3 linked regions of the Saccharomyces cerevisiae S288C genome follow. The gene in region 3 interacts genetically with the main gene of each other region. Each region holds a gene or a part of one and is shown on either strand. Other genes may lie near its edges.

What was found.
Region 1: mutations in POL3 (region 3) and POL32 are lethal when combined (synthetic lethality), as found in Saccharomyces cerevisiae (11 studies listed by BioGRID, with this or other methods).
Region 2: of POL3 (region 3) and REV3, changing one suppresses a phenotype caused by changing the other (phenotypic suppression), as found in Saccharomyces cerevisiae (9 studies listed by BioGRID).

Annotation. Positions count from the first base shown.
Region 1 is NC_001142.9:515,961-519,506, forward strand, and holds POL32 (DNA polymerase delta subunit POL32), read right to left. Parts: upstream 1,554-3,546; coding exon 501-1,553; downstream 1-500. Other genes in the region: NUP85 (Nup85p), read left to right, coding at 1-329; VPS55 (Vps55p), read right to left, coding at 2,803-3,225. UniProt on the Saccharomyces cerevisiae protein: DNA polymerase delta (DNA polymerase III) participates in chromosomal DNA replication.
Region 2 is NC_001148.4:232,093-239,017, forward strand, and holds REV3 (DNA-directed DNA polymerase), read right to left. Parts: upstream 5,016-6,925; coding exon 501-5,015; downstream 1-500. Other genes in the region: MRX4 (Mrx4p), read left to right, coding at 1-417; ATG29 (Atg29p), read left to right, coding at 5,246-5,887; SET6 (Set6p), read right to left, coding at 5,864-6,925. UniProt on the Saccharomyces cerevisiae protein: Nonessential DNA polymerase. Required for DNA damage induced mutagenesis. Involved in DNA repair, mitochondrial DNA repair and translesion synthesis.
Region 3 is NC_001136.10:274,987-281,421, reverse strand, and holds POL3 (DNA-directed DNA polymerase delta POL3), read right to left. Parts: upstream 4,551-6,435; coding exon 1,257-4,550; downstream 1-1,256. Other genes in the region: serine/threonine protein kinase DUN1, read left to right, coding at 1-1,115; QRI1 (UDP-N-acetylglucosamine diphosphorylase), read left to right, coding at 4,841-6,274.

The DNA of each region.
Region 1 (3,546 bases), on a different chromosome or scaffold from region 3:
TGAGGGACAGAGAAGATTGGGGCCAAGCGCTGCGCCTATTGCTTTTGCTGATTGAATTCCCTTATTTACCAAAACATTACTTGGTTTTGCTTGTGGCGAAATTCCTGTACCCAATTTTCCTTTTAGATGATAAGAAGCTAATGGATGAAGATTCAGTGGCGACAGTCATTGAAGTTATAGAAACTAAATGGGATGACGCTGATGAAAAAAGTTCAAACTTATATGAAACCATTATTGAAGCAGATAAAAGCTTACCTAGTAGCATGGCAACACTTTTGAAAAATTTAAGAAAGAAACTAAATTTCAAATTATGTCAAGCGTTCATGTAAATCAGTATAGTAATGTCCTTCGGATGGTATATTAGGATATATGACGAAAATAAGTAAATTTAAACAACAATATATATTTATATTGATCTATTTTTCTATCACGTAAGTTGACATTTGTATTATACATTACATCACAATTAGTAATGGAAAGTGTTTGGAAAAAAAAGAAGATTATTTTGCCTTTCTTTTGAAAAAGCTTTCCAATGTTCCTTGCTTTTTTAACCTTTTATTCGATGACGGCGTTTCTTGCTTTTTTGAAGACGACAATGCCCTTTTTACCACGGGTGATGGCTTGCGTGGTGGTGTTGAAGTTGCGGGTCTCTTTGTCACAATATATCCATCCTCATCAATAAAAGAGGAGGGCTCTTCTTCAGATTTAGGTTCCTTTGAATGTTCTGTTTCAGAAGGCTTTGTTTGCTGTATTTTAGGTACATCCATAAGTGAATCTTCTGCTGTCGTTTCCAACAAGTCTTCTAAATCATCGTTGTTTTTGTCCTTATCGTTGCTGTCAGTTTCTTTAGGTGAGTTGGGCTTGGACCCTCCATTTACTTCCTCTGTATCTAAGTCATCTTCGACAAAAAGATTATTTAACTCTTTCATTTGAGCTTCTCTTTCAGGGTTCTGTTTATTTATTTTTTGCAAGTTCTCCTCTTTCCTTTTACGTAACTCATTTTGTCTAGAGGTTTCCTTGTCATCTCTATCCTTTTTCATCTTAGCCAGCAGTGCAGTAGACCTGAGACCCATGTCTTTAGATTTGGATTTCCTTCCGGTTGTTTCTTCTGGCGTGGTCTTTGATCTTGCTGTAGGCCTTACCAAAGGTTTAGATTTCTCTTCTAACGTCTTAGTCCTCTCTATAATTTTCGATGATTCAGAAACTTTAAGTTCGTATGAATTTTTAATGGTTAAACAATCCTTTTGATCGATAATGTCGTAATATGGTATGAAGCTGTCCATGGGATTGAAGGCATAGATGAAACAATCAATTATTGAATCTTGCTGTGGAATGTTGGAAAGATCATGAATAATTTTAATAGTTTGATCTTTGTAGCAGCATATCACTACGCAGTTGTATTTGGCATTGGTGGTCTGTTTGTAATAGTCAAACATTAATTTCTTGGCCATGGATGGGCCGATCTTCAAGTGGTGAATTAGATCCGTAAAAAGGACGGGCTTTACCTCAGTGAAGAGCTTCTCATTGATAAAATATGACGCCTTTTGATCCATTAATTACCGATTGAGTTAACTAAAGCCTATTTCTGGTTGTTAGTTAATGTGAAATATTATTTCGAGCTGATCTGATTGCGATGTAACGAACTTCTGCGTACTTTTCAAAATTAAGAGTTTCGCGTGTTTAACTCATACGCGTTTACTACTTCCGTCGGAAAGTTACACCGTAGTGGAAAATAGACCTATTCGTTAGTATAACCTTATTAAGGTACTTCCATTAATGAAGTGTTCTATATTGAGGCATACTGATCGAGAATTTTCATAAGGTGAAACGATAAAAATATAAAAATTAAGCTTAGCGCCGCTCGGTTTCGATCCGAGGACATCAGGGTTATGAGCCCTGCGCGCTTCCACTGCGCCACGGCGCTTAACTTTTATGAATATTTTAGACTTAATAAAGATTCATATTGTAAAATTAAAAACAACTTGCACACTGAGCTGTGTTAGAATGAAATCCTACTATAATCCATAGTAGTATTCATGTCACTAGCACATTACAAAATATGCCATAGGAAGATGACGTAAAGATTGAGAACTAGTCATCAGATATAATAGAAGCTGAAAAGCAAGAATTGATAATATCGGACGCTATCCTACAATAGCAGCGCAGTTGCATAATTTGTTATGTGTCGTCTTTATTGTGTGTAAAGCTTTATACACCTTTACCTTTGTGTAGAAGACAAAGACATTGTTGTTATCACTATGTCCACATTCGCTACGAGGATATTTTCAACATATCTAGTTGAAATACAAATCTCAAGCCACTATAAAAACTGCGGAATCAAACAAATGTACAATACATTATCCTACTAGAGACTAATTTCTCAAGGTTTGCAATCCCATCTCTTTTCATGAGGTATATTGCGGCACAGAATGGTTGTACGACCATTGCTCAACGTTTCCGCTCATAGATCGATTCAAATAAGATTATAGACATGTGGCGATTCAATGCCAATCCTTATCCCGAAATTACGGATGTATTCAGCCAACTTTGCCTATCTACATTATTCTGTCAACTAGAGGCTAAAGACACGAATTTCTTGGCATTTTTTGTTTGAAAACTTGAAATGGAAGAAAGACAGAAAGTAATTTTATGTAATCTATTATATTTAAGTAGTTCTAAAAAAAAGGAGAAATCGACGCCAGATTTCCCACCTTGAGTAGAGTATCATACTATATAATATCAATGTACGGTTCACGCACCCAGTTGGCTTAGTCTGTTGAGGGGATGAGTAATTGTTATATATTAACCAAAAAGGGAATCATCTTCGTTGAAATCTTTTTTGAAAAACCATTTAAAAATAACAATACTAGAATATATGATAAGACCACCGATCATGCACATGATACAACTCAAATGGCCAATCAATTGGCAATGATAGAAAACAACAGGGAGTGCTATACCGCTTGTCACCAGCATTCCTGTAAGGAAGTGAGCCAGATCTTGGCCAGTGTTTGATGAATCGGACATGAAGTCAGATGTGTGATATTTATTTCCTGCATTGAAAATTGTGTTTGGTATTGGGGCAAGCAAAAAGATCAAAATATCGAATAGTGGGTAGTAATTATGGAATAATGCGCAGCTTAGTATGACCAAAAGGAATCCCAATGCGAGGAATCCTGACAGAGAAATAATCTTTGTCAATGGTGACACTTTGAATTCCATCATAACCGTCTGGGATTTTATGTATTAAGATTCTTTGCCTTTTAGATTTGATAAATATGCGCCGATATTAGACGTGTGTGTGTGTGTGTGTGTGTGTGTGTGTGTGTGTGTGTGATTCCCCTTTTCTAGTTTTTCTCCTACTCTTTTTTTCTCAGTTTTTCGTAAAGTGGAGTGAAAGCCCATCTAAGAAAAAGGCATAATAAAATGTAATAATTTTGAGGAGTACATTTGGGTATAGAACAGGATCAAACTAATTACAAGAGATACATGGCTTTCCCGCTTAATGCGAGGAAACAGTACTTATATAAACGATATATGTTTGGG
Region 2 (6,925 bases), on a different chromosome or scaffold from region 3:
GGAGGAGGAAAAAAGAGTAAAACTACTAAAAAAGTACTTCAAGGGAATAACATATTGTTACACTCATTAGAAAACAATAAGGATATGACCCTGTCAAACAACTTTGATCACAGTGTCTTTAACATCAATTTTACGGACTTATTTGGCGTTATTAATGCATCTGGGTCCCCACCAGATAGAGTTTTGAACGAAATTAATGAGATCGAATTAAAAGGTTGGAAATGTGTGGGGAACTTATACGATAATAATAAAATTGTAGTTTTTCAAAGTAGCAATCCACTCTTAGAGGATACGAAGATTCCTCAAAAGTCTTTCACTAATTCAAAGAGATTCCTTATTTCACTCTCAGCATTGCTGGCCTCCTTTTTTGCATATTATAGATACCGTCTATCTCAACGTCAAGAATCAAAGAAATGATTTTTTTCTTTCTTGTATATAACAACGTTATACATAGAAACAAATAACTACTCATCATTTTGCGAGACATATCTGTGTCTAGATTACCAATCATTTAGAGATATTAATGCTTCTTCCCTTTGAACAGATTGATTATCTCTCAAGTATCTTTCTGCTTTGACACGAGAGTAAAATACTGGACAGTCATATGAATTGCATTTACTAGCTATATGGTCATTTTCGATGCCTGCATCGGAAGTGTAACGATAACTGCACGTCCTGCACACGGTCTTTAGTGTTTGGTATTCTTTTTGTCTCTTTAATTTCTTTATGAGAAATGATAAGGTTGTGGTGCTTCTTTTCTCTAAACAGTCATCACATAACTGAAGTGAACATATTTTAGTCAATTCTTCACCACAATTACAACATGTTGCAGAAGTTCCTACTCTTGTTATGTTTTCCACTTTTGTAGTAGTTGTGCTCGCCCTTTTGGATTTTACTATTTCCTGAGCCCAGTTGCCAACATTTATACCAATCAAATTGAACAATCTATCAAGAGGAGGTATCAGAATTTTGTTTATATAATACTCCGAATCTAACTCTAAATTCTCACCTTCTAAGAACTCTTCTGGTGATACGCATCTTTCCCGAAGCAGTTGTCCTTGCTTTCCTTTAACAACAAGGTAAGGTATACGCTCCTTGTATTGGGGTTCTGCTCTATGGTCTTCATTTATTCTTCTTTTTACAACCACGGCACCTGCAGGGGCTGTCTTTTCGCTTTTATACGCTCCTAATTTAACTTCTTTTGCAAAACAAAAATCTTGGGCAGATACCTTTCCTATTTGAATCTTAAAAAATTCATTTTGAAGATACTTTTTTATTTTTGACAGGTCTTTGGTTTGAAAAAGTAATCGAATACATTTTTCAATAATCTTCTGCTGGGCTGGGATACCATCCCTTCTAACAGTTTCAATACCCTTAGCATCAAAAATAGGAAGGGTCTGCGAAGGACTTTCATAGGAAAATCCTACGTACCTTTTTTTGCTAATTAATATGGAGGGATGGTATACTTTTTCAAACTTCAAAAAGATTGGTTTTGGATTGTTTTGAGTAACTCTTTCTGCCATAGCATGTCCTATAGAAAAAGCCTCAATAGCAGTTTTTCCAGGTAGATATACAAATAAACTATCTGTGTCTCCATAGACAACTTTGGCGTTCCAAGTTTCATCTTTCTCAATAATATCTATTGCTTTCTCCAATGTTTCTCTGCCTGTTTGTACAATGCTATCAGCTAAATCAGAGCATGGCATTCGTCCAGAAAATGAAGCTGATGTATAACCGTAGGTGACATTCGCCAATAATTTTAGTGCTAACTGTTTGTTATTCAAAAGCCTTTTTAGGGTAGTGTTGTCATCACCTATTTCGTTCATTGTTTTCTTTATCATCACTCTGACATCAAGGATATCTGTTAACATTTTGGATAACGTTGATTTTCTAACAGAGGTCTTGGCATAAACAACACCATTTGGAGCGATAGTTACATCATTTTTTAATAAAGCTAAAATGTTTCTTGGTAATGAAAACTTAGATACTCCAAGGTTATTTTCCGTTAAGTTTATTTCTCGCACTCTTCCTATCATAGTCGAATAGCAATAGTTGTATCCAATCATAATGGATGGATACAATGATTGGAAATCCAGCACAATTAAAGGACTTTTGTAGAAAGCAGATTCTGGCTCCATAACCAAAGGCACACATTCAAGTGCTTTTTGCTTACGAACATCCTTTTTGCCTGGAGAAAGAAGGATAAAACTTTCGGACTTGCATATTCGGATTAAAAAAGACTCAACTTTAAATTGTGATCCTCTGTAATATACAGAATGGAAATCTATTCCTATCAATCTTGCCTGTTCGATATTTCGAGCAATGTAATCCTGCTTTCTTAATAGTTGTATATTTATCTGAGCTCTTGATAACCAATAATTTAACACAGTCTTTAATTCGGTTGTGCTCTTTTTAGCGTTCCACATATTAGTTAATGACTCAAATGAAAAGTGAGGTAATCGTTTATGGAGGATATTGAACGCAGCACTTTCAATAGTATATTGCGTTAAATTTACGTCGGACCTCAACGCTCTCCATATATTAATCATATGTCTTCCGGTAATCATAATTCCTGAGGAATGGGCATATCCCCAAGTATCTGACAACTTCGTCTTAATTTGGCATTTGACTCTGGCAAGTTCCCTGACAATGTCAAATTGATGTATTTTTTGACACCTTTCAATTATATAACCCCACGAAAAATTATGTATTTCGAAACCGGAAAGAATATCAGGATCAAGAAGTAATACCAAATCAGTTAGAGCCTCAAACATTTCAAATTCACTTTCATAGAACATCACGGGAATTTCGTTAATACAATGTTGAATTTTAGTAGGAAATGTACTATCCTCAGAAGCTTTGTGGACTATCATAATCCCTTCGTAAGCGATATCCAAATCTAAAGGGAAAGTTTCTTCTTCAAGACACCATATAATCATGGAAACTTCATCTATTGCAGGGTCTGGAATTTTATCACTTCTCGTGTTTGCATGAATCTCAAGTGTCAGATGAGTAAGAGAATCGTGAACGCTACTTTTTTTTCTTTTTTGTTTTCCAGAAACGTCACTAGCAAATTTGTATAAAAACTTACTATGAGGGGTGTGCATGCTTATCTGAGACTCAGTTTTTTTGTTTCCCATCGAGGGTACTTTATTGTACCATTTTTGAACAGCATCATACGTAGGTGGTTTTAACGCATATTTCCAGGAGGAAAACATGTCGAAAGTTGGCTTGTTATAAACTGATACGGTCTCTCCCCCAAATTGGACGGGTATTCTCGTTGATACATGTGTCGAGCTTATTTCAAACCTCTTACCTGCGTACGCGTAAGGTTTATTTTCTAGATCAACTGGATTCGAAAAGAAAGGGTCCTTATAGTCTATTTTTGGGAATCCCTCGTCTTCCAATTTATTCAGAATATCTTGATAACCGAAAGGAGGCTCACCATAAACAAAGGCTCTTTTTCCATAGCGTAATCCCGCAGCCATAACCTTCTTTCTTTTCCGAGACAGCAACGATGTTTTATTAGCAGAAACAGATGATCTAAGTTTTCGTTTACTTGCCATATTTTGCGTCATAGCACAATCCATTGAAAAATTTATCGTATTGTGATATTTTGTTTGATGATCTAATAGTATAGTAGAATCTTTCGGAGACGCAATGCTTTCCGGTAACCATGAATAAGACCGAGACTTTATATTGCTTCCTTTTACACCTTCGTTCTCATTATCAACACCACATATCTCGTATTCGGTGAACGATGCATTAACTTGGTCGTCGTTCTTTTTATCTTGCATACTATTATTGTTTATTTCAATCTGTGGAAGCCTTGGCCACAATTGCGGTAATGCTTCATAGGGCGTATTTATGGCTGAGAATTTTTGATTCTTATCTATAAAGTTCTCAAAATTTGGTATTTGACCATCAAAAGTACTTGTTTTATGTTGTGCTTTCTTATAAAACGCTTCGAACTCTCCAGAAGATTGCCATTGATGACCACTCACATGGCGCTTTGTTTCTGGTGGTTCTTTATATTCCTTCAAGGACAACTCCTCTCGTTGCATGGTAAGTTCATTTATCATGTCCCTAGCAGAGGATACATATGGTTTGACAGGTATGTCAGAAATATCTCCCAGTTTTTCCAAAAAGTCGTGATGTATATCTCTATGCTGTAACTTTTCTCTATTTTTGATGAATTGCGGTAGTATATCTATCTCAATCAATCCATTTCCAACCCGTGGAAAATCCCTTCTACTGAGTACGTTACACTTGAAGTCACAAAATCGATCTAGTAACAACTGAAGATCATCATTAATTGTCAGCTTATCTATGTCCAGTATACTATTTAAAACAGGAGAGCGAAAATAACACCTATCCACGTTTATCCATGAACATCCAAATAAGTTAAAATCTGCGGTCCATTGTAGCAAGTAAGGAATATGTGATTCATAAATTTCGAATTTCTTTCCGAAAATCTTGCCATCTCTAATCAATTCCGAAATCCTACTTAGACAAGAAGGATTAAGCAAAGAAATTTTGTAAAACAGATTCCAGCCAACGTGGTAACCATAAAATGGTATACCCTTTACAACAGAGACATCAGCGACAAAATTGAGATTTCCAAGTTTGTCGCCGGCTAAATCGTGTTTATCATCTTTTTTCCTTTTAAAGGATGCCCTAATTTTTACTTCCAGCGTTTTATGAACTTGGGCACATCTTTGGTGTCTCAATGTACTCGTGTCAGTTATTTGTCCATCATACTTGATGAACATGTAAGGTAGAATGCCATGGACGTGGCACAATACTTGATGCCCTGTGGGTAAAGCACCAAACACCCTGATGTTTGGGACCTGTGAAAACTGGTTTAAGGGCAGGCTTTCACCGTGCGATGGGTCCAAAAAGGTGGGTTTTGACATATAGTAGTCTTGATTATTTAGCTGGATTCTAAAATAGTCTGATTTAGAGGATGATCTAACCGTATCGCTCTGTATTGTGTCGTTCGACTCCCTCGACATTTCCAAACATTTTATTTCGCCACAACTTGTAGTTTTGTATTGACTCAAATACTTTCTCTTGTTTTGTGCTTCTATTACAGAGATGGCTTTTTTCTTCAAGTACACTATTTCTAGACGCACTGCACTCGTCAAAAAAATGATTCAAGGTGAAAATAAAGGGGTGTTAGTGAATACTTATCAAGAAGAGACATACATAATTGTACTGCTGTGCATTTTCCTACTTGACTTTCATGATTATGAATAGTACAAACACAGTTGTATATATCAAAGTTAAGGGTAGGAGACCACAGGGATTCTTGGATCCTCCCAAATTTGAGTGGAATGGAACAAAGGAGCGACAGCTTTGGACAATGGTATCAAATTTGAATTATTCACAAGATCAAATAGATTGGCAGAATTTATCAAAAATATTTGAAACGCCTGAATTTTTTCTTAAAAAGAGAACATATAAATTATTTGCTGAACACTTAGAGCTTTTACAACTACAATTGGAGAAAAAAAGAGATCTTGAGAAGTATTCAAATGATCAAGTGAATGAAGGGATGTCTGATTTAATACATAAATATACCCCTACTTTACAAAATGATAATCTATTAAATGTATCCGCAAGCCCACTGACCACGGAAAGACAGGATTCTGAAGAAGTTGAGACAGAAGTAACAAATGAGGCGTTACAACATTTGCAAACTTCCAAAATTTTGAACATTCACAAGAAAACATCGGATAGTGAGAATAAGCCTAATGACAAATTGGATAAGGATGGTATTAATAAAGAAATGGAGTGCGGTAGTTCAGATGACGATTTATCTTCGAGCTTAAGTGTTAGTAAATCTGCGTTGGAAGAAGCGCTAATGGACAGATTGCAATTCTGATTTACATCTTTCACAAGCACAATCAAAAAACCAACTGTCGGCCAAAAAGGCCCGGCGTTTTACTGTTGGTAAGTCCAGTACCCCGGAATAATCGATACAGATCTGCTCATCCTTTTTTATATCTCTATTCATAGTGAATAGCATTGAATTACCTTTACGATATTTCGTTATATTGGGGTTACAAGAGTGGTTGAAATAGGAGGCTTCTGGAAATACCCAGTATCCAAAATATTCTCTGCTGTCTGAGGCTTCGCCCTCTTGCCATAAACCAAAAGCATTCCCATATTCAGTACCTAATATATGTCTCAATAGCGGTATGGAGAGCATTCTATGCAAATGTGAAGGTAATAGAATATAGAGTGTTTGAAATACTAATTTTTGAAAGTGCAGTAAGACAGGAAATTTAGATATTTTGCTAAGCTCATTCGATTGTAACATATTGAAAGCTCGGTATGTTATGCACTGAGGATCCATATATTTAAGATTAAACAAACTCTCGCACACAAACCTAATGCAGCAATATTCATCTTCGCAAGTGGGTGGTAATTGATTTATTCTCTTCGCAGATTTCATGTTGTTGATGCGCGGTATCCATTTACTTTCAATCTCATCCCATGAAGACTGTATGACATTTTCCGAAATTAAGATAGAGTTTAATTTTTCCTCCTGTTCAGAGGTATAATTATATCTTTTCAGCATGCTTGGAAAATGATGCAGTAATATCTCATAACATTCAATTAATTCAATGATATTTGGTATTTGAAGATAAGAAGTTCTGCAATGTTCTGAACAGAACCACAGTCCAGCGCCCAGAAACTTCTTAGGGTTAATTTGGTAGTGTGCATTACAAACCAAATCTCTCAGGTAATCGTAGTTTAGTTTGTACTTCATAGTTTTCGCATTAGCGTATGCGAAACAATTGTGACAAACTTCCTTCCTGAACTCATAGGAAATAGATGTTCCTGTAAAATTACTGACTTGCAAGACTGTTGTCCCTTTAGGAATATTACCATTACTGAAACAAGCCCTACCGCCCCA
Region 3 (6,435 bases):
CTGACATCGAAAATGACGATGAAAAGGTAAGTTCAGAAAGTCGTTCATATAAGAACGACGACGAAGTTTTCAAGAAACCGCAAATAAGTGCTACAAGTAGCCAAAATGCTACAACGAGTGCCGCAATTAGAAAACTGAATAAGACAAGGCCTGTGTCGTTCTTTGATAAATATTTATTAGGTAAAGAATTAGGTGCAGGGCACTACGCCCTGGTGAAAGAAGCCAAAAACAAAAAAACTGGTCAGCAAGTAGCTGTGAAAATATTCCACGCTCAGCAAAATGACGACCAAAAAAAGAATAAACAATTTAGGGAGGAAACTAACATCCTAATGAGAGTGCAACATCCAAACATTGTCAACTTACTAGATAGTTTTGTAGAGCCAATCAGCAAATCTCAGATTCAAAAATATTTGGTACTGGAAAAGATCGACGATGGCGAACTATTTGAAAGAATCGTCAGAAAAACATGTTTGAGACAGGATGAATCCAAAGCTCTATTCAAACAGTTACTTACCGGATTGAAGTATCTGCATGAGCAAAACATCATTCACAGAGACATCAAGCCAGAAAATATCTTATTAAATATAACAAGGCGCGAAAATCCAAGTCAAGTCCAACTTGGCCCATGGGATGAAGATGAAATTGATATTCAAGTTAAAATAGCGGATTTTGGCCTAGCAAAATTTACAGGAGAAATGCAATTCACAAACACACTTTGTGGTACGCCTTCTTATGTAGCGCCCGAAGTCCTCACAAAGAAAGGATACACATCAAAAGTAGATCTTTGGAGTGCTGGTGTCATATTATATGTCTGTTTATGTGGTTTTCCTCCATTCAGTGATCAATTGGGGCCACCTTCATTGAAGGAACAGATCTTACAAGCTAAGTATGCGTTTTACTCTCCGTACTGGGATAAAATCGATGACTCAGTACTACATTTAATATCCAATCTTTTGGTCCTAAATCCTGATGAAAGGTACAATATAGATGAAGCTTTGAACCACCCTTGGTTCAATGACATACAGCAACAAAGCTCGGTCTCATTAGAATTGCAGCGTTTACAAATTACTGACAATAAAATACCCAAAACATACTCAGAATTATCTTGCCTCTAAACATGAGAAGCATTATTTCAAAAACATTGTTTGAATCTGGATTTTTCCAAGTATCTATTTATATATACATATATATCCACCAACATGCAAAAAGTTGTTAGCCTTTCTTAATCCTAATATGATGTGCCACCCTATCGTTTTTTACCATTTGCTTAATTGTTCTACTTTCTCCTGCAGCTCTTTTTTAACCTTAACCCGCATATAAAAAATGTCACAGTTCTTATTTGAACACAAAACTTCACTATGTAAGTTACCAGCGCACCTTTGGCATTGTGTCCATAATCTTGAGTATTTTTCCTCTAAATCTCTGACATCGTATAATGCCTTTATGTATAATTCTCCAGACCTTGCTAGACAGTTTGAACAAAGAGGGCCTTCACCTTTCCTCAACGGACCTTTACAACTTTTACAAGCCTCAACTTTTTTAATAAAGCTCATCAAGCCTCCTTTTTGAGAGCCTGTGTTAATTTTAATGGATTTCACAACGAACATACCGTTCGCCTGTTTGTCGCCAATAATAGGTGCAACAATACTAATGATTGGATTTTGTAATTGATTAGTTAAATAATAGCGCGAATCCACTTGAATATTGTTTTCTAGTACAAATAATGGATCTTCTGCTCTATTGTAAAGTTTATCATTACCACCGATAATGACATAGTCCACACGATCACCAACATTTGGACCAACGCCCTCTCTCCTCTTCATACGTTCAGCCAAAACGGCGTGCGGCTGTGGATTTGTGTAATTTGGGGCTAACGTCTTTGATATAATCAACTTTGAAATATCTACTCTATTATGCAGAATATCATTGATAGTTTCTCTGACAAAAGCTAAAGCACCATCTACATTTCTTTCAATTAAAATTTTCTTTAAAACTTTATTCATAACAATAGAAACCAAGGAACAGGAATCACGACGGACAGAAGCAAGGCCTTTTTGGTCCAACTTGTCAAACTTGTCAGGATTAGTCCAGAATAAACCTGCATAACGCTTTTTATTTATCAAAAGGTAAGGGAAGTATGCTTTTTCAAATTCTAAGTTAATCGGATGTTTGAATAGAGTGGAGACATATTTGGCAGCTTCGGTACCAAGATCCATAGCTTCCTTTAAATCTGTTGTACCAAACTTTACCATAACGGAATCAGTGTCACCGTAAACCACAACGGCATCGTGCTTATAACCATTCTTTATACAATATTTTTCTTGGACTGCGGTTTTAGTTTTTAAAATCATGGTACGACCATAAGCAGTAACAGATGAAGAAATGGCTAAACATGGCAATTTACCCACCGTCGCTCCTGTAAAACCATAGACAGAGTTAGCTGAAATCTTCAAAGCCAATTGTCTACCATTTAAAACATCTCTTTTGAATGGATCCTTCTCATCTCTCAGATCTTTTTTAGCGCGTTTTCTAGCACTTATTAATTCATCCAGAATAATTGGTAATATACCACGCCTTCTTTTTGTGGTAACAAAATAATCTCCATTAGGTGTTATGACGTAGTCTTCGTCAATTTTAAGATTCAATCTCTCTACAGTAGCTTTGTTACAAAGTGTTGTATAACATAGGTTGTGCGCCATCATAATACTTGGATATAAAGAATTGAAATCCAAAGTTGCAATCGGTACATCGTAATAACCACGAATAGGCTCAATAACAGTGGCACCCTCATATTGGTCATCAGAGGCCTGAGATTGCATGTTAGGTATCACAGTATCAATCTCCAGGCACTTTCGAAATAGTTGAGAAACAACTTTAATTTGTTGACCACGAGCTAGTAAATATGAAAATGGCACACCTGTAACACGAGCCATTTCTGTATAGTTAACTAACGCCATTAGTTTTTCCATAAGCCTTAAAGGCAGGTAGGCGTCTTTCAAACAGTAAACGGCCAACCTTCTTCTTGTTTCACTATCGCCATTTTGTAGATCAGAAATGATGCTATAATGTACATCCTCCTTCTGTTCACCTAAAAAGTGCGCAGAGACTGCATTCAACGTGTAGGATCTTAGTTTATACTCACGCTGAATAAATTGCAAAAGATCCAACTGTAATCGGCCGTCAATATTGACATTTTTGGTTTCTCTTGTACCATAAGCCTTCGAAGAGAACACAGACTCTTTAATTTCTTGCTTAACGGTTTTTAACCTTCCAAAATATGGGAAATCATTCACCTTTAGCGCCTTTGCACGGTTTAAAAGATAAGGGATATCAAAATTTGTAGTATTATAACCAATGATAACATCAGGATCAACTTTGATGATAAAGTTACGCCAATTGCTCAACATTTCCTCTTCAGTGGCGTGGGAAAAAATCATTGAACCTGTTATGGGTGAGCATGTATTCAGAGTAAACACATTACGAATGAATGGTTTCTTAGCGCCAGCAATACTCACAACGTTGGCAATTTGGATGACGGGATCGTATTCAGGTTCCGGAAAGACGCCAATCCTACCAGCACACTCGATATCAAAGGACATGATACGCAATGGAGCTGTATGAGACCAATCACCCTCAGCAGGATGTGCTATTAGGTTACGATAATTAATTGAAACTTCCAACTGACAAGAGGAAACTCTGTTATTAGGCTCAATCATCGAATACTTTCCTTTTGGTAATGTTATCCAGGACATACCGACAATTCCACAATCTACCATTAACCTTAAAGTGTAGGCAATGTTATCATAAGTAGTCGTGCCGTTAGAAAACCACGAGTTGAATGAAAGATGACCTCTTTCAAACGCAGTACGCAGTTTGTTGACCATATGCGGATAGGTGACGTATATTTTCCAGAATGGTAATTTGGTATCTCCGGAATAACCCCAGATAGACTGTTTAGATACAACTTCAATCGAATCAATAGCGTGGTCAAATGTTTCGTTTAAATAGTGCACAAACTTGTTGATTTGCTCCTGATCGTTAGCGTCGGAAGAATTGGGCGCTGGGACGTAAAGATAGTTCTTGAACCCTGTAACATTACAAAGTACAGAGTGTCCTTCACTAGTGACACCAAAAAACCTTACCACGGTAGATGTATTTTCATCTTTGATACCATTCAGTACGCTCTGTTCCGCATCAATTTGTTGGAAAGAAATATCATACAAACTTGGGTCAAAATCGGTTGGAAGTTTCTTACGCTCGAATGATGACAGGTCATGCTCTTCTTGGTCGGCCATATCATGTTCCATTTGCGATAGCTCTTGTTCAAAAGTAGACTCTAATTGCGTACCCATTAAATCTGTATCCTTTGCTTTGAAGCCTTGACTATTATATTTTCGAAAAGAATCACTCGGAATAATCTCTATTGTTGAAACAGGTTCACTTCCAACACCATGATCTATTGATTGCCGTTTGATTTTCTTTTCCAACTGGGGAGTATCCTCGTCATCGATCTTCACATCAACCATGGGAAGGGATCTTTTTTCACTCATTGCTGTGCGTATATGTATAAAGATTAATGCTTAATAGCAAGTGCTCAATATCTATTTTCCTTTATCCTTGAAAATTGCCTTAGATCAGTAGTACTGAGTGTTTGTTCTTCATAAGCGAATAGCAGATGTCCTCATTGAACATTTTATAGAATAAAAAGTTACGCGTAATACGAAAAATTGCCTATTACGTTAAGGCATACTTTTACCACACAAAACCAAGATCAACCGTCAAGCAAGAACGCTGCAAAGAAACGCAGATATAAAGGAGAACACCAGATCGAACTGCAACTATGACTGACACAAAACAGCTATTCATTGAAGCCGGACAAAGTCAACTTTTCCACAATTGGGAAAGCTTGTCTCGCAAAGACCAAGAAGAATTGCTTTCAAACCTGGAGCAAATATCTTCCAAGAGGTCCCCTGCAAAACTACTGGAAGACTGTCAAAATGCTATTAAATTCTCACTAGCTAACTCTTCTAAGGATACTGGCGTCGAAATTTCACCATTGCCCCCTACTTCGTACGAGTCGCTTATTGGCAACAGTAAGAAAGAAAATGAATACTGGCGTTTAGGCCTTGAAGCTATTGGCAAGGGTGAAGTCGCAGTGATTTTAATGGCTGGCGGACAAGGTACGCGGTTAGGATCCTCTCAACCAAAGGGCTGTTACGACATTGGATTGCCTTCTAAGAAATCTCTTTTTCAAATTCAAGCTGAAAAGTTGATCAGGTTGCAAGATATGGTAAAGGACAAAAAGGTAGAAATTCCTTGGTATATTATGACATCAGGCCCCACTAGAGCGGCTACTGAGGCATACTTTCAAGAACACAATTATTTTGGCTTGAATAAAGAACAAATTACGTTCTTCAACCAGGGAACCCTGCCTGCCTTTGATTTAACCGGGAAGCATTTCCTAATGAAAGACCCAGTAAACCTATCTCAATCACCAGATGGAAATGGTGGACTCTACCGTGCCATCAAGGAAAACAAGTTGAACGAAGACTTTGATAGGAGAGGAATCAAGCATGTTTACATGTACTGTGTCGATAATGTCCTATCTAAAATCGCAGACCCTGTATTTATTGGTTTTGCCATCAAGCATGGCTTCGAACTGGCCACCAAAGCCGTTAGAAAGAGAGATGCGCATGAATCAGTTGGGTTAATTGCTACTAAAAACGAGAAACCATGTGTCATAGAATATTCTGAAATTTCCAATGAATTGGCTGAAGCAAAGGATAAAGATGGCTTATTAAAACTACGCGCAGGCAACATTGTAAATCATTATTACCTAGTGGATTTACTAAAACGTGATTTGGATCAGTGGTGTGAGAATATGCCATATCACATTGCGAAGAAGAAAATTCCAGCTTATGATAGTGTTACCGGCAAGTACACTAAGCCTACCGAACCAAACGGTATAAAATTAGAGCAATTCATATTTGATGTCTTTGACACTGTACCACTGAACAAGTTTGGGTGCTTAGAAGTAGATAGATGCAAAGAATTTTCACCTTTAAAAAACGGTCCTGGTTCTAAGAACGATAATCCTGAGACCAGCAGACTAGCATATTTGAAACTAGGAACCTCGTGGTTGGAAGATGCAGGCGCTATTGTAAAAGATGGGGTACTAGTCGAAGTTTCCAGCAAATTGAGTTATGCAGGTGAAAATCTATCCCAGTTCAAAGGTAAAGTCTTTGACAGAAGTGGTATAGTATTAGAAAAATAACTGTTTGAGCTACTTATGAAGCACTTTTAACATGTAATTGAAAAGTACTCGTAATTGTGATTCAATATATATAATAAAATATTTCGTACTCTGAAAAATAGCTAAATTACTTGTTTTATGTAATTTCTATTTGGCGGATCCGCTCTGCCAATGGAAAGAGT